Pelodiscus sinensis: one gene and its partner. The protein of the gene in region 1 interacts with the protein of each later gene in a pairwise test. Links are inferred from orthologs where the notes say so. Each region holds a gene or a part of one and is shown in the gene's direction. Other genes may lie near its edges. The genes, in order: PSMD9 and NCKIPSD.

Region 1 (14,777 bases):
TTCACACATTTTTAAATACGTTCCTGCACCTGCTAAGTGAGCTTAATCACTATGCTGGAGAAGAAAAGACTCAAGGCTATACTGCAAACCTTGCTGTAAATGGCATGGTAAGGAGTCTGGTAGCAAAAGGGCAGATCATAATGTGTTCTTACAAAGTCTAACAGCAAAAGAACAGGTTCTGTGATTTTTTTAAAAATGAAATGGCTTATTTTGAAACGAATGTTTTCCCTTTTAGTTACAAAGACTGCAATATCAGGCTTATGTAGGAGAATTAGAAAGTGGGAATAAATAGCTGGGAATAAATAGGATCGAAACTGACTACCCTTTTCCAGGCTGAATGTACGTTAATTCAATGAATACTGAAATATAAGTGAACTTTTTATTATCCTTTCCATGAACCTGAGATGTTACTAAGAAAAAGAATTGGGTTTCTAAACTGGAAGGATTTTTAACTTGCTAATGTCATTTTAACATGGAATGATACAGCTGCCGGGCCAATCAGCAAAGACTGATATCTTATCACTTTGCAAACAAGACTGTCACACAATGCCTCCATCTAATGGTCTCACAAAGGCCTGGAGATAGGGACTTGGCTGGGGAAGCAGCAGGAACTATGTTTTTGTGAGGGTTTTTTTTATATTAAACAGGTGCCACTGCAAATCTCTTGTGTGGTTTCATATAATGTATTTTGGATTTTCTAAATGCCCACGAATTTAGGAAGACAAATGTTTACATGCAAGTCCACACAATTTGGTGCCCTGTCTGCAATGTAAACAACACTGTTGCATAATGATGGTCCAAAGACCATGCTGGAAGAACATACTACTGAACAAAAGTGCTGTAACACCTCCATCTGCGCAAAATCACCAGAGCCAGCCTCTAAGGGAATGTTAATTGAATGCAGATCCCCAGGACAATCCAGAAATCACATGGCAGACCCTCCCCTCCTGACAGCCAATAGCAAAGGTGGATTACAGTATGCCCCTGTTCTTCAAACAGTGATAGCGTACAAAAAATGATCCAACTCCCATACTCACAAGCAGAGGCAGATGTGACTTTTACCTACATACCTGCTTAGCATTTCCAACCCAGAATGTGAGAGAGTGGAAGTGGAGAAATTTGCCTCCTTCAGGCTAAATGGAAGGAAGAAGAGTTAATATGAACCTACAGGGTTTTGGGTCTCACTTTAATGCTACACTTTTAAAATGACACTGTCTCTATTTTAGCAAGTAGTGGGTCAGACCTAGATTGGTATAGCTAGAGAAACTTGGTGTGATTGCACATTTATCATTTGAAATAATAAAACTGTGGAAAGCACAAATCTGAGACTAGGGTTTTATAAAAATATATACTCAAGATATCTGAAATAAACCACTTTTGAAGGCTGAAAATAATTCAAAGTATTCCTACATCACAGGTTTTCTGAGGAGTCCCTAGAGAGCTCTGATGTTTGCTGGGCACTGACCCCCAGAACACTGGACTTTGAAAAGGCCTGGGGGGAGGGGGGGGCTGTTATATATTCCAAGCAAAACAATTAGTTTGTCTTCTAACCATTCAATAGTAATTTATCTAAAAATAAAGCCACTAAAAACTTATGTATAATGACCAGGGTAAATATGGCCTAACTGGATCAAATCACAGCACCCTCCAAACATGCTCTGGAGGAAAAATACCAGTGTGGATGAGAGAGATGCTAGTAAAATATTCACAAGACAGGAAGGAGCAAAGTTGGACAAAACATTTCCACGGGTAATCTGCAGAGTGGTTCTTTCCTTCGGGATTCTGGAAAATAATCATTCAGGAGTCTCTGATGGAGAGAACACACAGCAGCCGATCTGCTCAGTCATAACTTTGTCACTGAACACAAAATACCTGATTCTGTTCTCCCAGCCTTGTAAAGTAGGAGTACTTTCACTCGTCAATTAAGTCACATGTAAAACCAGTTCAAGTGAGAACAGACACAAGCCAATGGATGAATTGTTCTCTTATTACACTGATTATAATGAGGATGAGTTACAGAGAATAATGGAAAATAGACTTTGTGCCACTGGACAAATAACCCACTCAACTGTATGGATCCAATATGAGTTTGTTAACCTTGTTACGTTAAAGATTAATTCTCATCAAGGAAAGCTCTTACTCAACTGCAAATGTGGGTCCAAGCCACAGTTGGGGAATTTAACAAACTTTTTTGAAGTATTTCATAACATTATTTGGTCAAACACTACTTTAATAAACAGCTTTTCTATCTTACTTATGATTTGATATCTACTTTCTCCTGTCTTCTCATTTGTAATCACTATTAATTATTTGTGCATATACTTTATATAAAAGATAATGCATTAAGTAAACTTATGTTATACGGGATAGCATTTAGCAATTAAACATCATTATGCTATACAGATCAATATTTTAAAAAAAGTTTGTTTGAAACAAGTTTTTAAAATATATTTACAGTTTTTATTGAGAAATAATAAATTGTGCTTATCTCTAGACTTGGAAGAGTTTGATCTTAACTGGTAATGTCAGTAATCTTACATTTCTCCTTCCCCCAAAAAAGCGAAGAAAAAAGATCTGCATCATTAACTGCAACTTACAGAAAAGGAGAACTCTAAATATAAACTGTGTTCCAACACTATAAAACTGGAGCCCCTTCAGACTTTTAATCCTACCTAACCATCAATGTAGAAGACATTTATAATATCAGTGTTGCACTAATAGTACCAGTCTTTCATTGGAGGGAACATAAACCCATTCCATGCAATTGTATTCTTACCTTTTCTCCTTTGTCTGTGTAAGTTGTCTAAAGAGATAAATTAAAAAAATGTACATTAATCACCAGAAAACTAGTCCATCAGGTCACTTTTTAGAAAATAAGTGTTCTGAACTGCTTTAAACAGATAAATTAAATAGCCCAGCTTTTCAAAGCACAAACAGTACCCTGAATAACTGAAGACAAACCTATACAAACACAGTGAGAGATTAGCTCATTTACCCCCAATAATGTGTTGCCAGCAAATTTTAAAAAATCTCAACCTCACCATTTTTGTAACCTGACAATGTGGTAGCCCCAAGAGACAGTCAGAGTCTTTCTATGTATTTAATATAGCAATGGGAAGAGAGAAAGCCCCTCCCTGACTCCACCCTTTCTATCTTGTAAACTAAATGATTTACTTGGTTTGAATCATTCTGCCATGGGCTCAGAAATGATAACATGGAGTTCATATTTATGTTGAAAGAAAGAAAAACTGTTTACAAATTCTGAGCCAAGGGTCCAGGTTACTTTAGCTGCAGCTTATCTGTGAATCAAATTATCTAAGGAAAGTCTAAAAAAAAGACCAGATTCTCATCAGAATGTAGTATTAACCCAAAGTAACTCTGTACTTTTGGGCTGTGTCGACACTGGCATGATCTTTCACCAAAGTGGCCACTTTTCCATAAACACATGCTGCCTGTCTACACTGGCGGGGAGTTCTTGCGCAAGAACACTGACGTTCTGATGTGTGAAGTCAGTGCTTCTTGCGTAAGAACTATGACACTCCCGCTCAGGAATAAGCCCTTTTGCGCAACTGTTCCTGCGCAAGAGGCCAGTGTAGACAGGCAACATGAATTTCTTGCACAAGAAAGCCTGATGGCTAAAATGGCCATTGGAGCTTTCTTGCGCAAGAGAGCATCTACACTGGCACGGATGCTCATGCACAAAAGCACATCTCTTGCGCAAAGGCACATGCCAGTGTAGACGCTCTCTTGCGCAAATACTTTAACAGAAGTCTTGCGTTAAATAGTTGCGCAAGATCATGCCAATGTAGACATAGCCTGGATTAACACCAGATTTCACTGATTTTAGCTTGTGGACCATCACATCCCATATCTTTGAAGCAGAACTCTGACAGTGCCAGCATTCACAGATGTTTGCTGCAGGGAGAATTTAAAACCAAAAAATTTACTTGAAGGTGTCTAGGCATTGCTCAGGGAATTGGCAATTGGAATGGGTGCTTTTCAGATCTAGATTACTGCTACAAATCTAGAATAGGAAAGCACTAACCAAAATGTATTATTTGATGGCTGTGCAGTGTACTTGTTTGGCTTCCACCACTATGTCTAATTGACAGCAATTAAGAGGAAAATCAGGCCTCTCATGGATCTGGGAAATCCAGTTATAGTATGGTTTCTTCTTCCCTGCCAGGAAAGAAACAAGCCTGTTATAATTTGTTGCAGGCAGTTAACTTTGGCAGTTAATAGCAGTGGAGCTTGCTTGGGAGACATGGAGAGATACTTTTGGCAAGGAGAGGGCTGGGATCAGAGGACTCAGCTGAACCCCAAGGGAGTTTTCTGTTTTCTCACTTCTGCTTGTTTGATTTGTTTGTAAGGGAAAGACCCAGTTGACTGCTGTGCTGTTTAGTTAAGTCTGCTGATCCTCCCACCATTTCACACACTGTTGTGTCCTCAGGAATAATTCAAGACCAAGATTGTCCAAGCTTTTCACACACTGTTGTGTCCTCAGGAATAATTCAAGACCAAGATTGTCCAAGATCTTCCACAGCTTTTTCTGAGCGCACGCTAGAGCTGGTGACTGCAACAGGCACCCTCCCAAGAAAACTTTTTTTTGTTTCCATTCCCCACTCTCCTTTAAACCACACTCACCAGCAGCCCAATGGGAGATGGAGGAGAGGCCTATTTGGCTACTAGTTTTCAAACTATGGGTTGCAACTGAGTACTGGGCCATGGAATGTCAAGCACTGGGTCTCATTGCTGCAGGGGGATCAGCTAGCTCCCTGCCTGACCTTGCAGCGCAGACTGCACCACAGGCCCAGCTCCTGGAGAGGAGGGGAGAGCATACAGCAAAGTCTGCAATGCCAGGAGGCAGGAAGCTGCCTTAGCACTCCCGCTGCACCTCTGAGAGCCATTCAAGGTCAGCCCCTCCTGCCCTAGCAATGACCCCCACTCAAGCCAGAGCCCCCTCCTACACCTCAAAGCTCTCATCTTCAGCCCCACCCTGGAACCCACAAACCAGTCAAATTATATGGGGTCACAGACATCAACAACTTTCTTCAACTGGGTCTTGAGAAAAAAAAGAGTCTGAAAACCACTGTTAGACTATGATTTAGCCAGCTGACTGCCAGAGTTTAAGTATCCTTCTTTAGTATAGTGTTTTCTGTCCAGCCAAGCAAGAAAACATTGTTTTCTCTGATTGTATTTATTATAATTGGGCAAAATCCCATTTCTTTCCAGTTCAAAGGCAAATCAATGCAAGCATTCTCTGCTCACCCCAACAAGGGTATATCTGAAGTGCCATTCATCCTCATTATGAAATTTCTTGCAAATAAAAACCTTGACAAAACAAAAACACATAACCTAAGAACTTCCACCATGCCTAAAACTAGAAGTAGATGTGCTGAACAGCCAGGCTACGTCTACACTGGCCCCTTTTCCGGAAGGGGCATGTTAATTTCAGCTATCGTAATAGGGAAATCCACGGGGGATTTAAATATCCCCCGCGGCATTTAAATAAAAATGTCCACCACTTTTTTCCGGCTTTTAGAAAAGCCGGAAAAGAGCGTCTACACTGGCCCCGATCCTCCAGAAAAAAGCGCCCTTTTCCGGAGGATCTTATTCCTACTTCAAAGTAGATTCCTACTTCAAAGAAGAAGATTAAAAAAAACAAACCCACTCATAAGCCCTCTCTCCCCGTCCCAGCCCTCCACATGGTCCATGGAAGCCAGCACTGCAGAACTCTTCAAAAGCCGCCAGCGACCATTCCCAGGACACAAAACCGGGACGGAACGATCAGCCTGGAAGCGGCTTCAGTGGAACGTGGCGGACACGTGGGAGCTCGAGAAGGACTTTGCCGCTCCACTTTGTACCCCGCGATGAGCGCTAGTAGCCCCCCCCCCCGGGCTGCCCTGAATGACGTTTCCACTAGAAGTCTCCCTGGCCAAGAGGATGCAGCGTCTGGCGGCGCCGGTCGAGAGGCTGAAATGCTGCAGCCGCTCCCAAGGGGCCAAGGCGCGGGGCGGCAGGTGCCGGGATGATACAGAGAGGGGCGGTGACCGGGGGGACGCTCCCGCGCTTAAAGTGCTTGCAAATCCCCTGCAAGGCCGCAGTGTCCCTCGCCACGTACAGGCGTGGGGGGAGGGGGGGTTGGTTAGTGACCCCTCCCCCCTCCCACGGTGCATTTTAACCCGTGCGCGCCTGACTGGCATTGCAGCCGCTCTCCGGGCCCTGCTGCCCCCTGGCCCCGCCCACGCGCGCCGGGCCCTGCTGCCCCCTGGCCCCGCCCACGCGCGCCGGGCCCTGCTGTCCCCTGGCCGCGCCCACGCGCGCCGGGCCCTGCTGCCTCGTGGCCCCGCCCACGCGCGCCGGGCTCTGCTGCCCCCTGGCCCCGCCCACGCGCGCCGGGCTCTGCTGCCCCCTGGCCCCGCCCACGCGCGCCGGGCTCTGCTGCCCCCTGGCCCCGCCCACGCGCGCCGGGCCCTGCTGCCCCCTGGCCCCGCCCACGCGCGCCGGGCCCTGCTGCCCCCTGGCCCCGCCCACGCGCGCCGGGCCCGCCCACAGCGCGAGGAGGCGGGGCGATGGCTCCGCCCCTCCTCTGCCCCCCCCCCCCGCCCATCCTGCTGCGCGGCGCGTGACGCGCGGGCGGGGGTGGCTGGGTCGAGGCGATGGCGGAGGAGGCCGGGCCCGTGACCATGAGCGACGTGCAGGAGCTGATGCGCCGGAAGGACGAGATCGAGGCCCAGATCAAAGCGTGCTACGCGGTGCTGGAGGGGGTGCGTGCGCGGGGGGCGGGGCGCTGCTGGGGGCCGAGACGCTCCCTGTGTGGGGGGGGGATGCGCGCCCCCGTGCCAGTGTGTTGGGGCGCGTGCCTGTGCGGCCCCGCCCCTGCCGAGCGTGTGGGGGAGGGCGTGCGGAGCTGGCCCTGGCAGGATGCATATGCCTGGCCCGGCCCAGCCCGACTATCACTGCTGGTGCGCAGCCCGAGGCTGCCTGATGCGGGCCAAGCCTGCCCGTGCAAGGCCCCATGGCCACGGGGGAAGGGCACTGCTGTTTGGCACTGCAGGGGTTAACGCAGCACCGCTGCAGGGTGGCCGCTGGGAGCTGGGCGTGCGGTACCTGACGGTAGCTATAAGGGGCGCTGCGCATCCCTTATAGCTGCCATCAGGCGCCCCACATAGGTTGGCATCCCGGGCAGCTGCCCGGCTAGCCCATGCCTTAATCCGGCCCTGTTTGTGTGTATTGGTCTCTCAGGTTAGAGCCTGACAGCCCACATGCACAGGGTTCACTGTAGGGGGTCTCTGTGCAAAGCTGGGCTGTGGCATATGTGCACATTCAGTGAGAGGGGAGAGTTCATGGCGGGGTCTCCCAGGATGGTCGTGGAGCCTCCAGGAATTAAAGATCATTGTTGCGTTCAAGATTATGTTGTGATGAAATGTCAAGGAATGCATCCAGATGGGCAGTCCTCAGGGCAGGGATGGGGTCTGTGCAAACTCAGATCTGCAATGTCCTTACAGACTTCATTTAGTTCATTCTGGTGCAAAAGTAATTGCCTCCTTGGCAAGGCGGGGGGCAGCTCTGGGTCCCCAGAAGGGTGGGGTTGGAGGGATGAGACTCCCCCAGTCAGCCCTTTGTGGGTTCTGTTTCCACATCAGCCAGTAGCCCCAGGGTTTGGGTGGTGATGTAGAGGGCAATGGGAACAGCTGAGAGCACTGGAAGTGATTAGAAGGTCCCCTTCATTCCCCTCTTCCCAGGTTGAGGCCACTGCAGTAGTGACAGCCAGGACCTTTTAAATCAGCAGGGCAGCTGCTCCTTTTGCTTCCCCTGTGGGCAGCCCTGTTAGTGTAGGGTTCAGCAGGGCCACTGATGTTAAAGCACTGCCACAGCAGCACTATAATGTCAGTTGTGTACGAGCCAGTACTGGTAGCTGGTTCTTACCTATATGCTGTACTAACCCACTCTGACCTATGAGTTCAACCTACTAAACAAGCTGTTGAGACCACAGGTGCCATATTTTTGTCCTTTAAAAATGAGAAACAAAATGTAACTTGTCTCAAGAATACTTGACGCATGAAAGTATTTCCATTCTGCAGCAAAAGGGAGTCGGGATGAACGAGCCGCTGGTTGATGCTGAAGGGTTTCCACGTGCAGATGTCGATATATACCAAGTTCGTACAGCCAGGCACAACATTATCTGTAAGCAATTCAGTCCTCAAAAGTATCTTGTCAGGGGCTGAGCTAAATGAAACAGACCACACTTATCAGAAATTTGGTTCTTTTTTTTACAAACATCTGGTTTGGTTCGTTTTGTTTTTCCCATTGGTAAACATAAAGAAATAAAACTGAATACTGTTTACATAAAGCAAAATTATTGATTGGACATTTATATATTTACAACAGTAAGTTTCTTTAGTTTATAATAACAAAATAGATTATTAAAACACTTTATTAGTAAAAATAATTAGTCATCTTTATAGTAATACACTCCTAGTGCTATTTAATATTTTAACTTCATCCAGATTGCAAAATAAAAATGGGTCAGTTTGAGTTTTGTTTCCAAGCAGCTTTTCCCTCTGGTCAGGTACTACAAAAGTTCAAGTAGAGTGGCTCAGTCATAAAAATGAATCTGTTAAAATGTGTGTGCAACATTATTAATGCACCTATTAATGATTAATAAAAACAGTAATATTTTTGTATTATTGTAAAACTTTTCTGTGTTCTTTAGAAAATAAATGTTGGATCTAAACTAGTCAACGTTGTTCCTTTTAAATTTAGTGATTGCTTTGTATTTTGTGGACAAATGTATTATAATAGTCATTGTTTAGAAATAAGTGTTGCATGTAGAGCAGGGTTCGGCAGCTTTTCCAAAGTGGTGTACCAAGATTTAACCCTCCTGTCCTGGGCTGTGCCACTCTCTCGGGGGGGCTCTCTCCACCGTGTGCCCTGCTTGGTCTCCTATCCTGGACTGTATTTCAGCTTTTCCTGCACCTGGGGCTAATGCTGCTTTGGGGTCAGAGGACCCCCACATGCATTTTCCTCTCCCCTGAGCCGCTGCCACCCAGCCCCGGAGCTACAGCCCGAGCAGCACTCACCCTCTAGTGGGGGCCCCGTGGTGGTGGTGCTAGCGGTGGGACGTGACTTCAGCACTGTCTTTAGCCCGCCTGCCAGGGACATCACGAGGCAGAAAGGGAGGAAAGTGGAGCAGGGAGTGCTGAAGCTGTAGGGCTAGGGCTGTGCAACAGGGCGGAGACTGGCAGGCTGGAGGATGCAGGGACGGGACTCCCAGGTGAACGTGTTGGACGGGCTGGAAGGCAGCTCCTCACACCCCCTACCGAAGCAGGAAAACTGCGTCCTAGAATGAGCCCCCTCCTTACCGCATCTGTTGCACTCCAGTCCAGCTCCAGCCTGCCCCACTCCCTCACATGGCCTAGCAGCCCTGCTCTGCCATGTCCAGCCGCCCTTGGAGCAGCTCCAGCCCCTGGAACAGTCATGTTCCTCCATGTGGGCTGGCTGCCCCCAGAGCAGCTCCAGCCTCCAAAGCAGTGGCCTGCTATGCAGCCCGGCTGGTCAGGCTGTGTGACTGCCACGGAGCAGGAACTGGGGAAGCAGCGAGGCTACCCTAGCAGGGACAGCCTCACCGCGACCCAGCTCCAGCTGTGGCTCCTAGAGCAGCCTCGCTCTGCTACGTGGCCCCACCAGGTGGACCATGTGGCTGCCACAGAGCAGGAACCGGGGCTGTGGTGAGGCTGCCCCAGCAAGGACAACCTCACCCTGACCCAGCTGCGGCACGGGGAGCCATCCGTCACGCAACCACACCACTCAAAACCTTATCCACTTCTAGCATACATGCCGTGTGTTGCCGATCGGATAGAGAGGGTGATTGGATGGAAAGGGGATTTGGTTGTTTTGTGTTCTTTATGAGGACACTGATCTCCCTAGTCTATATACTCTGTTTAGTCTATAGGTTTTTACTTAATTTGTAATGTGGCTGTTTCTACGCACCTTGTGTGTAGTTGTGTATCAATGCTGTGCTCCTGAGCAGAGCTGTGAAAGAGCTCTCAGTCGGTAACCATGGCGCTGTCAGGTGATGGCTGTTGTAACTGGTTATGCTTACACAGTGGATCTTTTAGTGTATTTGGGAACATTGACTAACTCCCATAGAAAGTAACCATGTTCCTGACTACATAACATAGATTTAATGTGATTCTCAGGTAGCCAAACTGATCAGAGAAACTGAACTAGGAGCAGCAATGCCATTGTTGCTAGCACAGTTTCATTCACAGTGTAGGCCTAAGAGGAGCAAAAGTCTTAGTTTTAATTCAAAGCTAGAAATCTCAGACAGAGAGGTAAATGTATCTGTTAGGTAAGGACCTTAAATGAAAACGTGATTGTTCCTGTCTTCTCTGCACTAATGTGTCTCGCCCTTAGGTTTGCAGAATGATCACAAGGTCCTAATGCTTCAGGTGGAAAAAGCCCTCCACCAGCTACATGCCCGAGAGAAGGAGAAACGTGCAAAGGATGAGGCCGAAGCTCAGGCCGAAGCAATGAATCAGGACCAGAGTTTGCCTCAACCCTTTGCAAGAGTGAATGCTGTCACCCCAGGCTCTCCTGCTAGTATCTCGGCAAGTACAATTGTCTTGCTTCCAACGGCGGAAACTCTGCCATTTGGACCCCAGATATGGCAGGTGGTTCTCCCCATTCACCTGTAATCAGGTGCAGGGTTTGAAGTTCTGTTTTAAACCAGATTCTTGCTGGGTGCTTGTAACTTTCCTCATGGACATAATTATTTCTGTTCGCCTCGACAGTATAAAGTAGTACGCATTGCTATACCCTATAGAGCTGTGGCCATGTTAGAATATCTAGCTAATGAATCAGGCATAGGGATGGAAATCTGAACTGGGTTCTTCCCTAACTCTCCAACTGACACTTTGTAGGACCTTGGGTAAGGCCATGCCACCACTTTGTGCCTCAGTTTCCCCATCTGTGTAACAGGGATAATAAATACTACCCCCCTATTTCCCATGGCGGTTCTGAGGAAATCTGCTAACTCTTGAGGAATGCTTTGAGATTCTTGAATGGAGCTGCAACCTAGTTGAATATTTATCAGGTGCTGTAAAGAGCCTTGGATGAAAGATGTTATATGAACTCACACCACTGTGTATTTTTGAGGGCAAATGATGCGAGTTTCCTTTTGTTTCTTTGAAAAGGGATTACAGGTCGATGATGAGATCATTGCATTTGGCTCTGTCGACACACACAACTTCCAGTCCCTGCAGAATATTGCCACTGTGGTGCAGCACAGCGAAGGGGTGAGCAGGTTACCAGCTTTGGCTGAGCTCTCTTTTCAGGCTTAGAACTGAAGGTTGGATATTTTTTCTTTTGTGATAGTTCAAAGAGACCATTAGTCTCAGTTTCCCACTCTGGAAAACGAACATCAGGCTCCTCCTGCTTGTGTTTTTTTTGTGACTGTTGGCCCTATAGCTATGCTATTAAATATTATCCCTAAGACCAGTGAAGAAAAGTTAAGAATTGTGAGGTTTTTTCCTGAGCTGACAGAGTTGGGAGCAGAATGTAGGTGTAATGCTTGGTCTCTACTGAGAGTGCTTGCTGTTGGCCAATCAAGGAACAATGGAGATAAACTTCAAAAAGAGAGGAACTTTTAACTCTCCACCATAGCCTCGGGGGAAGCCGGCGGGGGGGCATCCCAGGCGCGCCTGGGCTGCTCCCCCGCCGGAGCCCCTCCGCGGCTTTCAAAGCCTTTGAAAGCCGCGGAGGGGCTCCGGCGGGGGAGCAGCCCAGGCGCGCCTGGGATGCCCCCCCGCCGGCTTCCCCCGAGGCTTTGAAAGCCGCGGAGGGGCTCCGGCGGGGGAGCAGCCCAGGCGCGCCTGGGATGCCCCCCCGCCGGCTTCCCCCGAGGCTTTGAAAGCCGCGGAGGGGCTCCGGCGGGGGAGCAGCCCAGGCGCGCCTGGGATGCCCCCCCGCCGGCTTCCCCCGAGGCTTTGAAAGCCGCGGAGGGGCTCCGGCGGGGGAGCAGCCCAGGCGCGCCTGGGATGCCCCCCCGCCGGCTTCCCCCGAGGCTTTGAAAGCCGCGGAGGGGCTCCGGCGGGGGAGCAGCCCAGGCGCGCCTGGGATGCCCCCCCGCCGGCTTCCCCCGAGGCTTTTTAAAGTTTTGGTAAGGATCAATTTTATGTTCACTGTACAGTGAACCCTCGCTACTTCGCGGTTCGACCATCGCGGATTCACGTATATACATAATGTAATGAAAAAAGTCCGCGAAGTCGTGAATCCGCGATGGTCGAACCGCGAAGTAGCGAGGGTTCACTGTACCATATATAAGCCACTATATAAGTCCAGAGTACATCCATGCCTTGAATACTGCTTGCAGTTCAGGGTGGCCCATCTAATAAAATATGTTAGAACTGGAAAAAGTACAGAGAAGGGCAACAAATAATTAATGATACAGAACAATTTTCAAGTGAGGGGAGATTAAAAAGAGGGACAGGGTTGCAACCAGTGTTCCCTGTAAAATGAGCACTTGGGTGGCCAGACAGGAGAGATTCAGATTAGGATTGCCAGGTGCCCAGTTTTGAACCGGACAGTCCAGTATTTGAGCTTTCTGTTCGGGAAACAAATTGAGAAAATATGTCCAGTATTTTCTAAATAAGATGTAAGGTAGATTGTGATGTAATGTCAAGTGTGTCCGGTATTTTTTGTTGAAACCATCTGGCAATTCTAATCAAATGCCACCCAACATATTAGTGCCCAAAGCAAGAAGCCTGTGTTTGTACTGGTGGTGCACATTCCTCAGTGCACATAACAAAATGTATTCTGCACATTGATGGGGGGAAAAAAATTAGAGGGCTCATTGATTGCAGTCTCATGCTCTGGATGTCCCTAACCTTTGAGCAGTAGATGTTGGGATTGTGATAGGATGGATCACTATAAATTGCCCTGTTGTTTTCACTCCCTCTGAAGCATATGGCACTGTTCGTTGTTAGGAGACAGGATACTGGGCTAGATTGACCATTGGTCTGATCAGGTATGGCCATTCTGATGCTCTTAGAGGGGCAGGGAAATGAGAGTAGGGCCAGCTTGACAGGAAAAACTGTTTTTCTTGCATTTCAGAAACCATTAAGTGTGACCGTGATCCGTAACGGCAAGAAATTACACCTTGGGCTCACACCGAAGTGCTGGGCTGGGAAGGGACTCCTGGGGTAAGCTTGCCATTTCCTTCCATAGCCTCTGAGTTCAGATTAGCTAAGTATATGAGCTGGCATGTCATTAGCCAGCCTTAAACTGGAAAATTCCATTATTAAGCAGAATGGAGCCTAAGCCTTCTTCAGAGCACTCATATCTTCCTGCTGCTTGTCAGATCACCATTCCCTGGGAATCCCCTTTGGCTTCTCTACCTGAGGTAGACTCCAAATTGGCTTTCCTTCACTATCATTACCTTCATTATCAAGTGGGTACTTCTGACCTGCCTGCTTTGGTGACCACTCCTGGCACTATACAGATTGCAGCTGTACTCTGTTGTGCTCCACCTGGTTTATAATATGATTCCGTTTTCCTGAGTAGACTGGCCTAAGCCATGTTCTGACATCTTATTGGATTATGTTACAGCCCTGGAGTTAGTTCCTGCAATGAAGGAATTAGACTTCAATGAGTATTAATTACACTATGTGTGTGTCTGAGGGACACAGGCCCCATGAGTTTTCAGGATGTAATGCAGACAGGGCTCCCATGTGTGGAGGCGGAGAAAATCTATTTTACTGGGGCCTAGAGGTCCTGGAAGGCCTGGCCTAGGCTACAAATTGAGGTACATTTGTGGGAAGAGGCCCATGTTAAAAGTCTGTACTGGGCTCAGAAAAATTATGCTTGGACCCTGAGTGTGGATCCTCTAATGCTGTGATAACCTAGCTTATTAGTCTGTCCAGGGAAAACAATCTTTAATTGGGGCACAGCTATGTTGTAACTGAGGTTCACAAGTCTGTTGGAATTCTGTGGAGACTGTATCTTCCCTCTGCAGATACAGCTGGGTGCCCACTAGGGAGCCTAAGTAGTTGGATGGGGTGAGGCGGGGAGGCGCTATATTTGTATAACAGGATGGGAAAGGGCCAGCTAAGGGAACTCTGTAATCTTTGATCTTACTATATAAAAAGGGATGAGGAAACAATCTTTCCCTCTATTTTCTTACCCTGGATTTAATGCAGAAGACCTAATTTATTTCTTTACATTTTTTCAGCTGCAATATTCTCCCCTTGCAAAGATGACTGAGGCTTGGAAGACAATAAGATCAAAGTTGTGCCTACTCTTTGAACTCCAGCCTGGTTTGAAAAGTTCCCTTTGCAACCTACATTTCTTTGCTAAAGCTGGAGTGTTTATGATGGGATCTGAGACTGACATCCAGCCTGCCGGATATACTACACCTGAACTGCTTTCAGTAAACCTGTGCATAGTTATGATTAGTATTTGTGATGGCCCTGTGACTTTATATGTTGTAGAGTCACAGGACCTGATTCTGACTCTACAATCTGTTCCCTATAAATCATTCATGCTGATGTAAATCAGGCATGAGATCAAAGTGAGGTCCATAATCTTTCCTTAAGTTAGAATCTTTGCCAAATTATTCTGTGAATTTTTGTTTGTTTATAGAAAGAAAACATTCACCAATAAAGTTTTAAGCAGGATTTTTTGTTTTTGTTTTTTGATGATAACTTACATTCATTTTAAACTAAAGTATGTCGTGAACAGGTAGAATATTTGTTCAGTGTGCTGAAATAATTCCA
Region 2 (15,571 bases), on another chromosome or scaffold:
AAGCTAATCTCTGGCCTCCCCCCAAGCTTAGCTCAGACCCTCTCTGTAGAAAAACCTGGCTGGAGGGGCTACCTGGCCTTGTGCATCAGGCTACCTCAATCTTTGCTGTTTCTAAAAAAATACCAGTGAGAAATAAAGGGCTAAATGGCAGATGAATGTCAACTTATACACTTTCCCTCTCACAACCCACTTAGCGCCCCTTCTTCCAGTCTTGGGACTGCGTGCCCTATAGAGGATACTGCCAGAGCCATGCTCTGCACCAGCCATGCCACTGTACTTTGAGAATCTGACATCTCTACTAGCCATGTCTCCCTGGGGATGGCAAATGGACACAGCTCCTTGTGGGAAGGGGTAGACTCTTCTCTGATTTATGACTTAGGTCTAAGCAGCTGGTGGTGTGGACCTGCAATGGAACCAGCCCTCAGGAGCCTTTTCTGTTCTACACAGATATGCCTAGGATGATAGGAGACATTAATCCGACTATGAGGACCATAGAAAATGGGTCTGATACTGTCTGAAGTAAGGAAACCTTGCCCTGAAATACAAGCCAGCCTGTACGGAAACACAAAGCCTGGACTTTGAGTCTTCACCTTTTCTTTCTTTTCTGGAGCCAGCACCAGATGGTTTCTAACACTAGAGTGGCTGGGAAGGGAGGAGAGTGACTATCTCCTTGCCAAGTGAGTGGTAGCAATAACTTATAAGGCCAACGAGACTCTTTCTCTTTCCTGGGAATCCCTATGATGTATACATAATAGGGCAAATATAGTGCCAGTCTACAAACAAGGAATTGCAGATCAGTCAGCTTGACTTCTGTACCCAGAAAGACAATGGAGCAAAAAATTAAGCAAATAATTTTACAAACCCATTGAAAATAATAAGGTGATAAATAACAGCATGGATGTGTCAAGAACAAATTGTCAAACCAACCTGAGCTTTCTTTGACAAGGTACATGCCTTGTGGGTAGGGGGGAAGCAGTAGATGTAATATATCTTGACTAGTAAGGCTTTTGATTCAGTCTTGCCTGACTTTCTCATAAACAAACTACGGAAATGCAGGAAAAACTTAAAAAGCAACAAATAGTCTAATAGCACCTTAAAGACTAACAAAACATGTAGACGGTGTCATGAGCTTTTGTGTGCACAACCCACTTCTTCAGATTACCAGAGTGTTGGAAGTCCAGATCCAAGAATAAATAAGGCAAAGAGGGAGGGGAGAGAAGGAAAAAAATGGAGGGGAGGAAGAAAAAAGAGACAGTAAGTAGATAAGCTTCAGAGGGATAGCCCAGTTAGTCTGTAACAGGAAAGACATAAAAAACAACAAATAGTCTAGTAGCACCTTAAAGACTAAATAGTTACAAGAGGCTGATAAGAACCATTAGTTTGCACTTGGAAAGAAAGATGACCAACTCCAGATTCTACACAGTCATCAAGAACCATTAGCACCTTCATTGTTTGGTTGGTTGATAATGTGTGAAATACATGGAAATACAATCTAGATGGAGCTACTATAAGGTGGGTGCATAACTTGTTGAAAAACCATTTCCAGAGAGTACTTATAAATCGTTCACCGTCATGCTGGAAGGGCATATCAAGTGGAATCCTGCAGGGATCAGATGTGGGTCCGGTTCTGTTCAATATCTTCATCTATGATTTAGATAATGGCATAGAGAGTACACTTATAAAGTATATGGAGGATACTAAGCTGCATGAGTTTGCAAATGCTTTGGAGCATAGAATTAAAATTCAAAATGATCTGGACAAACTGGAAAAATGATCTGAAGTAAACAGAATGAAACTTGGTAAAGACAAATGCAAAATACTCTGGATAGGAAAAGAACAGTCAGATGCACACAAACAAAATGGGGAATGACTACCCAGGAAGGAGTACTGTGGAAAGCAACCAGGGAGTCATTGTGGACTACAAGCTAAAACTGTTATAAAAAAGTGAACATCACTCTGAGATGTATTAGCTGAAGTGACATAAGTAAGACATGAAAAGTAATTCTTCTGCTCTACTTCTGCTGATTAGGCTTCAACTGGAATACTGTGCCCAGTTGTGGGAGCTACATCTCAGAAATGAGGTGGACAAATTGGAAAAAGATCAGAGAAGAGCAACAAAAATTATTGAAAGTCTAGAAAACATGACCTATGAGGGAAGATTGAAGCAGCTGAGTATTAGTCTTGAAAAAAGAAGTCTCAGCACGTCTACACTAAAAGGGAAGGTCAACTTAAGATACGCAACTCCAGCTACATTAATTATATAGCTGGAGTCGAAATTTAACATCCCTAAATGTCACTTAATTCTTTGACTGTTTTGTTGGGCTTTATAATAGAATAGAATCACAGAATACTAGAACTGGAAGGGACCTCGAGGTCATCGAGTCCAGTCCCCTTCCCTCATGGCAGGACCCACAACCGGCTAGACCCTCCTGGGTAGATGTCTATCTAACCTGCTCTTAAATACCTCCAGAGATGGAGATTCCACAACCTCCCTAGGCAACTTATTCCAGTGTTTCACCACCCTGACAGTTAGGAAGTTTTTCCTAATGTCCAACTTAAACCTCTTTTGCTACAGTTTAAGCCGATTACTTCTTGTCCTATTCTCAGAGGCTAAGGAGGACAATTTTTCTCCCTCCTCCTTGTGACGCCCTTTTAGATACCTAAAGACTGCTATCATGTCCCTTCTCAGTCATCTCCTTTCCAAACTAAACAAGCCCAATTCTTTCAGTCTTCCTTCCTAGGTTGTGTTCTTTAGACCTTTAATCATTCTTGTTGCTCTTCTCTGGATCTTCTCCAATTGCTCCACATCTTTCTTGAAATGTGGTTTCCAGAACTGGACACAATATTCCAATTGAGGCCTAATCAGCACAAAGTAGAGCGGAAGAATAACTTCTCATGTCTTGCTCACAACACACCTGTTAATGCATCCCAGAATCATGTTTGCTTTTTTTGCAACAGCATCACACTGTTGGCTCATATTTAGCTTGTGGTCCATTATGACTCCTAGATTCCTTTCTGCAGTACTCCTTCCTAGACAGTCACTTCCCATTCTGTATGTGTGAAACGGATTGTTCCTTCCGAAGTGGAATATTTTGCATTTGTCCTTATTAAACTTCATCCTATTTTCCTCAGGCCATTTCTCCAGTTTGTCTAGATCATTTTGAATTATGACCCTATCCTCCAAAGCAGTTGTAACCCACGTGGCCCACTCACTAGTCTTGGTTGTGCATCGCTGGTCTAGATAAAAAATAGTCCAGCCACAAGTGCAGGAAACTGGACTAGATGACCTCTTGAGGTCCCTTCTAGGTCTATGATTCTACATGATAGGGAGAGTGAGTTGATATGAGCATTACAGTATTGCCAGCCCCTATCTTCAGCAGTCATGAGTGAGGTCTCAGCTTAAAAACGCTGAGATAGTTAACGATTAATACATGTTGCACTGATTTTCTTCGCCCTCTGATTTCAGAGTTTTCGGGGTGCACTCAAGTCATGTTCTCAAGCCTTTCTCTACAACCACAAAAGCTAGAAAAGTCTTTTTAAAAGGTAAGCCAATTTCCCCTATTTAAGAATTTGGAAGCTGGAACTTTAAGGAAAAGCATCAACTGTCACCAGATGTGATAAATGATGAGAGCTGGCAACATGCACTTGGAAGCTCTATTTGTATGCTCTGTACATTTATTGTACTAAGGGTCTCATCCAGGCACTGGGGCTCTCTCCCAGCGTGATTCAAGCCACATCTCATCCCTATTCACTGCATGTGACAGCCTCACAACCATGGACCATCAGAACATAAGAATGGCCATACTAGGTCAGACCACAAAGGTCCATCTAGTCCAATATCCTGTCTTTCAACAGTGGTCAATGGCAGGTGCCCCAGAGGGAGTGGACAGAACAGCCGAACAGGTAACCATCAAGTGATCCATTCCCTGTCGCCCATTCCCAGCTTCTGACAAACAGAGGCTAGAGACATCATTCCTGCCCATTCTGGCTAATAGCAGTGCCCATTTCCCCTTCCAGAACACAACTAAGCCCTTTCTATTCTTCCATCATAAAGTTTGCTGAGCAGGCTCAATCATCTGTATCAGGCCTGCTTGTTTCTCCACTTCTATCCAGTCTCCTAGATCTTACTGGCTTACCTGTAAGTTCTTCTCTACTGTGTTGCCATGATAACCTCTTTGGCTTTGCACGGTCTCATTGTGACACCATCTGTGATCTCTGCTCTGATCTTTCCTGTCCTGAAGTCACTAGCTCTTCTTCACTGTCCTAGTCCTTCCCTCTGAACTTGGTGTCATCATTAAAGAACCCACTTTCCATGCCAAGATGGGTTCCTTTGCTTTGCTCCTTGGACTGCATTCCCTAGGGTATGTCTACACTGCAAGGCTATTTCAAAATAAGATATTCAGGAATAGTTATTCTGAAATAACATATCTACGCTGAAGGGAAGCCTCAAAATTAGTCTGAGGCAGGCTTTCCTAATGTAGATCTGCTATCTCAGGAGGCACTGGGGAGGAATAACTTAGAATGGCCCTGGTGAAGGGCTATTTCAAAATAGCAGCAGTGGAGTGTGTACACATGCCTTATTTCGAAATAGCTATTTTGGAATAGGAGTTATTCCTCGTGGAATAAGGTTTACAGAAGTTGGAATGAGCCATCCGTTATTTTGGAATTATTTTGAAATAATGGAATGGCTATGGAGATGCTCACATTGTTATTTTGAAATAACGCTAGTTATCTTGACATAATAGTGCAGTATAGACGCACCCCTAGCTGGCAGATACCTCTTCTCTTTTCCTCACTGACTGATCCCGGCTCACCCACCCCACTGACTGATCCTGGCCTCACTTGAGGGATATAAAGTCAGAGCACAGTCCTTTTAGCATGGCCCTCAATGAGCAGGAGCTGGCAGAGGCTGCATATCCCTCAACCATCCCACTGTGCTTCAAAATTCCTACATGCAGCTCTGCCCCAACATCTATTTGCTGCACCAGGCCTTTAAGTCCAAACAGTGGCCAGGCCTCTCAGCTACACTCAGAAAGTTTCTCTGTCTTCCTGCACAGCACTGACTTAGGGGCATGCTCACTGTGTGCCCAGTGTGCACTGTGCTGTGGTTATTCTGAGCTGTCAGAATATGGATAGCCATTCAAGGATGGCAGACTAGTGGTTTGTGTGCTGGGGCTAAGTCACACCAGAAGCCAGCTGGGCTTCTGGCAGGGTCTAGAATTCAGAGGGACACAAGTGGCACAGGTTAATTGTGTGTAAATTTACCTTAGCCTCCTGCCCTCTATCCACTGGGTGATGTCTCTTGAAAGACAACACTAGGAATCAGGGCCTGGGTGTTTAGAAGGTCGAGAGGAAGCACAGAGCCTGAAAACCTGCTTCGAGGAAACTGCTCCACTTCTAATGGTCCCTGTGTCCGTGCTGAAGCATAACATTTGAAAGCCTAGTGCTATGGTTTATTTTCATGATTACCCAGAATGCTCTGGGAGCCATTTCACAATTGTTCACTAGTCTCCATGTTGGGAATAAGCCAAGTGACACAGATGTGTTTTGATGCACTGAGCCCAGTCCCAGCCTCTCATCTGCTCACACAGCTCTGGTAACTCCTCACTGTGACTTTTCTGGAACAATGTTCTGAAGTACAGAAGACTGACAATGAACTGTGTTCATATTGTTTCATAAACCTTTACTGCCCTCTGCTGGGTATTCATCAAACCAAAGACTGCCTCATGTCCATTTTTGCATTGTTTGTATTGTTTTTTGAACTTTGTCTCGTTTTAAGTGATGTTGTGATCTCTTGTTTTGTCATTGAATAACCTGCTGTATTATACAAGATTACTTCCCAAACGTATCTGGCAGCAGCCATTTCCTGGATCGAATGGATGAGAGACTGATTTCAGAACATAGTAATTGCTGCACTGAATCAGACCCTAGTTTCACCTAAGCTCATTCCCTACTTGTAATGGTAGAGGTTGACTTCAACACTAAAGCAAGAACGTTTATATCCCTGTTTAATTTTATTAAATTATATTCTTCCCATCCATATACATGTCCAGCCCCACTGCCAAGTTCCTATGCAAGTGAGTTGCACAGATTGTGTGTTGTACAAAGAAGTATTTCCTTTTATCAGTTTTGAATTTGCTGTCTTTCAGTGTTATCAACTGTTCCCTTGATGTGGTGTTATGGAACAGGAGGACCTGATCTAACATAGAAAACTTAGAACTCTGAAAAATCTGCTTATAGGTGTCCCAGACTGGGCATCTGAAATCAGAAACCTTTGAGTAGCACTAATTGGAAAATTTCTGGCAAAACATTTTTTCACCACAAAATGTTGATTAATCAACATTTAAATACGCCATGCAAATGTGTTGATTTTTAGACTAGAAAAGTTGCCAATGGAACCCTGCATGCCTAATTTCAGCCTATCTGGTGGGCTGACAGGGAATAGAGAACCTGGGAGCTCTGAGTGTTTTGACTATGAAGCTCACAGCTCTTCTGCAGTCCTGCTCTGGAGTCAGGGCTGCCAGGGCCCTGCCTCTGGTGAACTGCTGTGGAACCCAGGGACCTACACTTTCTCAGGGAGGTTAGTGGCCAATCTCCCACCTGACCAGCTCTCTGGGCTGCCCTCCATCCTGGCATGCTGGTATTGGGTGAACATTTCTGAGATTTTTATCTCTTGTTTTGCTATTGAATGAAAAAAAAATTGAAAACCTCAGACTTGTTAATAGAATAGAAAATACTGTATCCATTCAGATCTGCTTTTGACCTTACTTTCTCTGTGCTTTAGCTCTGCATCGGTAAAATGGGGATAGTAATAATCATCTCACTAGAGGGTTGTGAAAATAAATTAATGTTTATGCACCACTCAGATGCTAAATTGGGGAGTACTACAGAAGAGCCCGTGAGGAAATCAATAAATCTATCTTCAGACTCAGAGCAAGGTATTGTAGAAGCTATTTTATGTTTAGCTAGAAGCCATCTTGTATATCAGAAACCATTTCAGCTTTTCTCTCAAGCACGTAGACCAGAGTGAACTTTCTGTCAACCCGTGAGAAGAGGCCTACAGGATGGGTTATTGGTATGTGTTAATTGGGCTGGTTGGGACAGGAGATGTACTCCCTCGTACCTGTCCGCCATCTTGTTGATAAGGCTTTGTTTTTCCAAATTTAATTGAGGATTTCTGTAATTGGATGCCCTGACATCAGACTGTTTGGCTAAGGGTATAAAGATACTAGGATTGATTGTATTAGCAGCCTTACTGGGCCCGGCTTTGCTGGGACCACGTTTGGCTCACTTTGCTTTACTGATCAATAAAGCAATCAGTTGTTAGCCGCCTAAACAGAGAGGAGCGTGTATTTGCTTCGACAGTATGAATAACATGCAGTAAATAAGGTGTAGGGGCACACACTGAACAACAAGATGAACAAATATTGAATAGCTGCCCATTTACTGAGCACCATACCTATGCACAAAATGAGGCAGGGGTTTGGTGAGCAGGGTATGGGCACATGTAATTAAAGACTACCACAATGCAGATGCCCAAGGGTGCCCAACTTTTTAAATGATCTTTAAATATCACTTTTGCTTGTTACATACTGCTCAGCTTTCCCTTTGATATTTATATACCCACTGCTTCTTCCTCCTCCTCCCCCCTTCCTTATTTTTGGTTCTGGACATCCAACACTGGTCATCTAAAGAAGTGGGCTGTGCCCACGAAAGCTCATGATACCATCTACATCAGTGGTAGTCTGCACCCCTTTGGTTCTCAAAATATGTTCTCGTACCCCTTATTAAAAATCGTTGAAATAGGTCAGTTTTAAATCTAAGATATATCATAAAAATCTGGCATGTCTCACACCCCCACAAAGGGCATCTTGCACCCCCAAGGGGTGTGTGCACCCCAGGTTAAGAACCACTGATCTACATGTTTTGTTAGTCTTTAAAGTGCTACCAGACTATTTGTTGTTTTTTAAGTTTATCCTGTACAGACTAACTCGGCTACCCCTCTGAAGCTCTTAAATATCACTGTTATCTTAAATATCACTGTTATGTGTAATGCCATACACTTGTAGCATGTCCCCTCCTATTCATCTCCTAAGGTAAATATCCCAATCTTCTCAAGCTCTTCCTGTGTGTTTTACTAGCTCCTTGATAACTTTCCTTGCTTTCTTTGAACCTGCAATATTCTGCAATAGTCTTTTTGAGATGGGGTGATCAATACTGCACAGGGTATTCTAGACAAGAGGGAACCTGTGATTTATATAATGGTACTGTACTATTTTCTGTATTATATCCAATCCTATTTCCCCAGCTGTGGCAGATGCTCTAACTTACAGCAAATTAGTGGGAGTCCAATGAGCTGTTCTGCATTCCAAAACAAAGTGCTGTGGTCTTGCCCTTCCTGGCCCTCCTAATTTGGCCCCCATACTAAAGGTAACAAGGAGCTGGGAGAGAATAGAGCCATGTATGTCAGACCTATGCTACTCTTGCACCGTGCTAGTTCCATTTTATACAAGTTCTGTCCACATTCCAGAATCCGGGCTTTGTGGCCTGTGACTAGAGTCCCATACAGCCCAGGGGGGAGGAAGGCAGCAGGGCAATGGGGGCTTGATAGTGGAGCCCAGGAGGGAGCAGTGGGAATGATTAAATGCAGAAATGTCTCTGCAGTGAGCGCAGCCACACAGCAAAGGGTTGGCTCTATGTGGGGCCAGGTGTGGCAGCGGTCTGATGTGATGTGGGGCAGGAGCCCGGAGTGATGTGACAGGGCGGTAAACGCTTGGGGGTGACGGTAATGAGGGGGTGGGGGCGCTATGTGCAGGGGTGAGAGGAGGCCCGGGCAGGAGCCAGGACCCGCATGGAGGGGAGCTGGCAGGGGAGGTAATGCCCCATGGCGGGGAGGCAGGAGCCACGAGGGAGGGGAAGGGAAGGCTCATGCGGCTATAAGGGGGCAGGAGTCACACGGGTGGAGGGGCTGCCCCAAGTGGGAGGGATAGAAGCCAGGAGCAAGGGGAGGGGAAGCCCCCTGCGGGGGGGCCACGCAGGCCTGAGGAACACGCGGGTGCAGCCGCTGCCTCCCGCAGAAGGGGTTGGGGGCGGGGCTGACCCGTGTGCGGAGGCGGGGCCATGCTGGGGGCAGCCGACCCAGCAGGGGGCGCTCACGCCCAACAGACTGGCCAAACCAGGAGGCGGGGCCACGCGGTGACGTCGACCGACCAGATGACGCAGCACGCTGGTGGGTGGGGCCGTGTTGACATCGGGAGCCGGCACCTGCAGGGCCGGGCTGAGCCGCCACCATGTACCGGGCCCTGTACAGCTTCCGCTCCGCCGAGCCCAACTCGCTGCCCCTCGCCGCCGGGGAGACCTTCCTGCTGCTGGAGCGCAGCAACCAGCACTGGTGGCTGGTGACCCGCGCGGGCTCCGGCGAGACGGGCTACGCGCCGGCCTCCTACCTGCAGCGGCTGCAGGTCAGAGCCGGGCACGTGGGCTGCGAGGCGGGCTCGGCGCCCCGTCCTAGGGCAAAGCCGGCCCGGGGGGCTGGGCGGGTTGGAATGGGGGATGGGCTGCCGGGGCGAGAAGGAGAGGACAGGTTGGGGGGGCTAGGGGGGGAGAGAGGACAGGCTGGGTTGGGGGGGCTAGGGGGGGAGAGAGGACAGGCTGGGTTGGGGGGGCTAGGGGGGGAGAGAGGACAGGCTGGGTTGGGGGGGCTAGGGGGGGAGAGAGCACAGGCTGGGTTTTGGGGGCCCTCTTCTAAAATGGCTGCAGCCAATCAGTTGGGCGTTTAGGGATGGGCATTATCCTGGCTGTGGCATGCCAGAGGATGAAACGTGGCCTCTTTGTAGGATGAGGCTTAACGCTAATAACAGAGAGACTGTACTACAGAGACTGACTGAAGTTCTGTAGTGCAGTCTTTAGAGGGCATCTATTCTGGGAACCAGCTACTTTTTAGCCTCTTTCCTCAGAAAGTAACAAGTCATGGGGTGCTGTGCTAGTAACACGGTCTATGCACAAGCTTTCTGTCCCACACAGAGGATGTCCAAATTATAGTCATGAAGTTCTTGAATCAGCTGGATCTGTGCAGAGGAGATGCAACCACTCCTGTCTGCAGCTGTAGAGGATAATGAGGTTAAGCCAAGTATGAGGACCACTGCCTGAGAGGTCCACTGTCGTCTTACCATTTGCTGAGGTGACAGTTTGGGTGTTTTGGTTGCCAAGGACCAGGAAACACTGACCTGGTGATGCAAGTTATGCACTAAACTTCTGTAGGTCAGGACCATAGAGAAGAAACATGGAGCTTTACTCCAAGGACATAAGTTATATGTTGGCCCCTACATATAATGGGTTAGAAGACAAGGGAGTTGGGGGTATCGGTATGGAAGAAGTTATATGCTGGTTCTGTATCCTCTGCTCTCATGAGAGTATGAGGGGGAAAAGGAAAAGTTCACATGGCCTGCACTAGTGAGACTAGATGTATAGTTGGTCGACTCCCCGAGGTTGAGTCAGTGGATGATAGGCTATGTGCTGCTTTTAATGTCTGAATTTACCATTAAGTATTGCTTCTATATTAAGCAGTTATTGTCACAATCTGTATGTTAGAGCAAATGTGCAGAGAATTGCTTTGAAAATGGCTATTTGTAGCTTCTGCTGTGTATAAGTGAGAATGTTTAGCAGCAGATCAGTCACACACATTTCACTAACAGTTAGAATAATATGGGGGCTAATAACAGGCCTGTCCCAGCACTGATGTGGGAGAAGCCAGAACAACCAGCTGTAATGATAGTGGCAGTAATTATAGTCAAGTCAGTGACATTAGTAATTATAGAAAATAAGAGGACAGACTCTTCCAACCCTAATAGGAGTCAGAATGATGAGAGCTCATGCAGTAATCACAACAGCAGGGAAAACCCATACATTTTTGTAGGTGCTGTAGAACAAAAACTTGCATTTCACTGGATAACGTGGGATATAGAGATTACGAGAAGTTAATGCATGCAGCAATTTACAAGCATTTCATAGAGTTTAATCACATTCTTATAAGTCTGATGCCTATCTTGAGTTATTACGAATGTACAGGGGAACTGGTCTGGTTTCCAGCTATGACTGTGTTATGAATTTGATGCCTATAGCTTTGACAAGAGCTGGCACCTGGTCTGCCAGTGTGACTCTAAGATTAGACCTTTGTACTTGAGTAAGGATCCTATCCTGCAACTCCTATTCATGACAATAGTCGGACTTCAATTGGATTACAGGCAGTCCCCGGGTTACGTACAAGATAGGGACTGTAGGTTTGTTCTTAAGTTGAATCTGTATGTAAGTCGGAACTGGCGTCCAGATTCAGCCGCTGCTGAAACTGATCAGTTACAACAGCGGCTGAATCTGGACGCCAGTTCTGACTTACATACAGATTCAACTTAAGAACCTCAGGCATCCCCAAGTCAGCTGCTGCTGAAACTGATCAGCAGCTGATTCCAGGAAGCCCGGAGCAGGGGCTTCCTGTAGTCAGCCACTGGTCAGTTTCAGCAGCGGCTGACTTGAGGATGCCTGGGGCAGAGCAGCTGGGGTGCTGCTGGGTTGGTCCAGTAGCGCCGCCGCTCCTCGGCACTACTGGACCAACCCAGCAGCACCCCAGCTGCTCTGCCCCAGGTGTCCTGATTCAGCCGCTGCTGAAACTGATCAGCAGCGGCTGAATCAGGACTCCTGGGGCAGAGCAGCTGGGGTGCTGCCCGGTTGGTCCAGTAGCGCCAAGGAGCGGTGCTGCGGGACCAACCGGCAGCGCCTCACCTGCTCTACCACAGGCCTGGGGCTTTGCTCCACGTCTCCCTGGTCTGCTGGAGAGGGTGGGGGGGAGGCCACTAGCTGCGTTCCTCCCCCGCCCCCCCCCCCAGCAGACCAGGGACACCCGGAGCAAAGCCGCAGCGGCGGCGGGGTGCCGCGCCTCTGAGGCTTTGCTCTGTCAAAGCCTCAGAGGCGCGGGACCCCTCCGCCTCTCCGGCTTTGCTCCAGGTGTCCCTGGTCTGCTGGAGACGGTCCCCAGCAGACCAGGGGCACCTGGAGCAGCTTTTCTCACCCTGGAGGTCAAGGTGGCGGGACCGCTGCGCTCTGGGTGGTCCCGCTGCCTGCGAGCTCCGGGGCGAGAGAGCCCCGTTCGTAAGTGCGGATCCGACATAAGTCGGATCCGCGTAACTCGGGGACTGCCTGTATTCATGTAAGAATCAGGTGCTGAAATATTTCATAGCACTTACAAAGCTGAAGTTGTAATTAAAACAATATATTTTTAAAATAATCTGTGGACTTGAGTGAATGTACTACTTGTGCAATTTTTTTCTCCATTCTCTTGCTTCATCTGCTCATCTAGTAGTGCCATGCCTCCTTTTTGTCCCTCCACAAAGTTTCACTGTGGTTGGTGCAGAAGTCATATTCACTGCAACTCCTGCCTTCTGGAGCAATCTTCCTGTATTTCTTTGCCTCAAGCACTGTAGTTTAAAATCTCATCTGAAAACCTCTCTCTTCCTTTTTGCCCTTCTATTTTGCTTTCACACTGAAGTACTTTCAAGCCACGGGTTGCATTAAAGATGGTTAGAATGGTTATAGAGATAGTATATTAATCACAAATATTAAAATGAATGTGAAAGCAGGGTTATGACATGTTATGAAAATAGATTCTGGTACTTCATATTTATTCTCCTTTAGTTCAAACATGACTTTCCAAACTGCTATTTTAACCTGTTACCAGGAAATACAGAGGTGGCAGAAAAGCTCCATGTTATTTGACAATAAAGGTTCTGGAACCAGAACTTGACTTGTGATCATACGTGCATGAGGCAGATGAGAATTCAAATAACTGCTCTGTAATTATATCAGTGCTTAGTTACATTGACTGCATCTCATTAAGTGATTTCAGAGTGCTTTGAGGTCAGCTTTTCAGTTCTGTCTGGAGTCAAAATTTGCTTTTATTAGTAAACTAAGTAGACCTGATATGGAAAAACCTTTTTGTGACTTAAGCCTTGCTTTAGACAGTTGAATGGACTGATAGCGACAAGAATGCAAACAAGATACACCACCTCTCTATTTAATAAGTTTGATGCTAATTAAACAGAGAAGTAATTAATGTCACTACGAGCACTACAAGAATAATGAAGCTAACAATTAGTGACAGGGTGTACTGAGCAGGCAAAGAGAGCATGTCAGCAATGGACCGTTGCAAACAAGTCAGTAGGATCATTTATAGTGCAGTCAAGTTATTGGTAAGCAGTCCATGTTCCAACAATCACAGTCAAAATAAGTAAACATCTTATTGCTATTGCTTCCCAGAGGAATCTCATAAAAAAGGATATAGGGATGTGAATGGTTAACCAGTTAATCTGTTAACTGATAAGTGTCACTTTTACCAGGTGATGCTTACCAATTACAGTTAACCAGCCTGGCTAGCACAGTGGAGCTAGGGGTGTTCTAGCCTAGCTAGAGTAGCCCCCATCCTCTTGCTCCCATTTAAGTGGTTTACCCACAGGTGGGCAATTGGATTGGGGTATCGCTCCAAGATTTTAAGAGGTCAAGGGCCGCATTTCTGTGGGGGGTATGTGGAGTCTGGGACAGAGGTTGGGTGTAGAAGGGAGCTTGGGGTAGGGAACTGGGGGTGCAGGAAACCGTGTGAGGTCTGAAAGGGAGTTTAGGTGAAGGAGGGGGTTGTGCTGTGGGGTGGGGAGATGGAGTGTGGTGCAGGACCCGGGAGGGGGTTTGAGTGCAGGAGAGGGAGAATTTTAGCCTGGGGGAGGCATGTATGAGGGAGTGCAGGGTCTGGGAAGGAGTTGTGACCTGGAGGAGGTGGGGAGAGGGAGTACAGAGGGTTTGCTTGGTGACCTGCGGCAGGAGAAGATGGTGACTTGGGATATGGGAGGAGACTTTCCTCGCTCCCCTGCCCCTAGGCCAATTAGGGCTTGCGGACGGGGGAGTGCGCAAAGCCTCCTCTGCTCTCTTCTCCCCCCCCCCCCCCCAAGCAGCGCCTGATGCTTCAAAGCACCATGTGCCCCTATACTGAAGGAGGCTTTGCATGCTCCCCCACCCCCAGGCCAGATAGTTCTTGCCCCCCGCCCCCAGCCTTCTTCGCTCTGCCCCTGCCTTGTGAGCAGCGTGGTGCTTCAAAGCGCCGCATGCTCCTAGTAGGGTGGGAGGAGGCTTCGGGGTGGAGGAGCACGCGAAGCGCTGCATGCTGCTCTCAGGGCGGGGGCAGAGCAAAGAAAGCTTCATGCCTGATTGGCCCGCACCTGGCCCACAGAGGCCATTTTGCCCACCCCTGGTGTAAAGGCAGTCCAATTTGTCCAAGGTACATGGTAGAAGGGCATTGCTGGCACATGATAGCACATATATTAGATATGCAAGTGAACAAAGCCTTGCTGGTATAGCTGATGTGGTGAGGTCTTATGATGGGGTAACTAGGGTAGATATGGACAGTTGGTAATGGGGTGGTTGTTGGCATTGGTTTCTGGCTTAGTGTTTCTGTTACGGGGTGTGAAGTTGATGGTGAATATTTGTTTCAGATTGAGGGGCTATGTATTTGGCAAACCATTCCAGCATAAGATGTAGCTTATACTGGAATAAACATGTTCCTGCTGACACAGTTTATACCAGTTCACCAAGACAGATGAGCTATGTGGACAAAAGCATGTTTTTGCCAGTATAAACTGCATGCGTGTCAGGGTGTATACTGGTATAGCTTTTCTGGTTAAAGAAATAAACCCCTCTTCTAACCAGCATAGATTTGTTGGTATAAATTTTAAGTGTAGAACAAGCTTGGGGGAAAGAACATGGGCCGCCTCCTACTTTTTGCCTTAGAGCAAGCACAGAATTTGAAGCAAAAGTAATTGCTTGCTTGAATTTAGACTTTGTATGAAGTCTTGGCTGAGCACTAAACTGCAAATAGAGATGTGCTGGCAGACTCTGAAATAGCAATATTTGCAAGCAAAACTAACAAACTAGAAAGCTAACAGGTGCTGCTGATCAAACAAGTGAGAATCTACACCTGACACTGAGCTGTCCAGTAATGGCACAAAATAATTGCCTTGAGTTACTGACATAGCAGAGACAAGTGCTGCTAATAGCTAATGCCAGGCAGATGCTGTTGTAGTGAAATCATCAACACAAAAGCTTGGTATTTTCTGATTAAATGGGAAGGAGCCAATTGGCAGAAGGTTTAGTTTTTCATCACAAACGACATGAGTGACACTGAAGTGGTTTCTGAATGGCAGAAGAATATGGAGATTAAATTGGAGTCTGGCTTTTCAGTCCGAGACAGTCATTCATTACAGAAGATGAGCCTTTTGAAGTTTTTTACGAAGTAGTAAAAATTTCAATTTAAAAGCTTCCTCTGGAGCAGGGTTTTTATTCTCTGTGTCACGGAGGAGAGTGGCTGGCTGGTGAAAGAGGAGAAAGATGAGTGTAACGAATAACAAGGATCCTTTCACTGGGTTAAATAGCCCATATGTTACTATCCTAATGCTAAGATGTGTGATTACTTAATGGGAATCTGGAACTGTTCCAAGTTCCGGCTTCCAGCCTATGAAGACCTGAATTGTACCACCAC

Evidence for each region.
Region 2: the proteins of PSMD9 (region 1) and NCKIPSD interact in binary tests that used the Homo sapiens proteins (3 or more experiments, as listed by UniProt). The two-hybrid records come from large-scale screens. The link is inferred for Pelodiscus sinensis from reciprocal best matches to the Homo sapiens genes PSMD9 and NCKIPSD.

What each region holds. Positions count from the first base shown.
Region 1 is NC_134725.1:33,298,818-33,313,594, forward strand, and holds PSMD9 (26S proteasome non-ATPase regulatory subunit 9), read left to right. Parts: upstream 1-6,598; 5' UTR 6,599-6,659; coding exon 6,660-6,767; intron 6,768-8,084; coding exon 8,085-8,187; intron 8,188-10,419; coding exon 10,420-10,613; intron 10,614-11,198; coding exon 11,199-11,300; intron 11,301-13,116; coding exon 13,117-13,205; intron 13,206-14,233; coding exon 14,234-14,261; 3' UTR 14,262-14,678; downstream 14,679-14,777. Other genes in the region: HPD (4-hydroxyphenylpyruvate dioxygenase), read right to left, coding at 1,071-1,133, 2,777-2,803, 3,042-3,044. UniProt on the Homo sapiens protein: Acts as a chaperone during the assembly of the 26S proteasome, specifically of the base subcomplex of the PA700/19S regulatory complex (RC).
Region 2 is NC_134721.1:26,040,478-26,056,048, reverse strand, and holds the start of NCKIPSD (NCK-interacting protein with SH3 domain), read left to right. Parts: upstream 1-9,211; 5' UTR 9,212-9,290; coding exon 9,291-9,461; intron 9,462-15,571. UniProt on the Homo sapiens protein: Has an important role in stress fiber formation induced by active diaphanous protein homolog 1 (DRF1). Induces microspike formation, in vivo. In vitro, stimulates N-WASP-induced ARP2/3 complex activation in the absence of CDC42.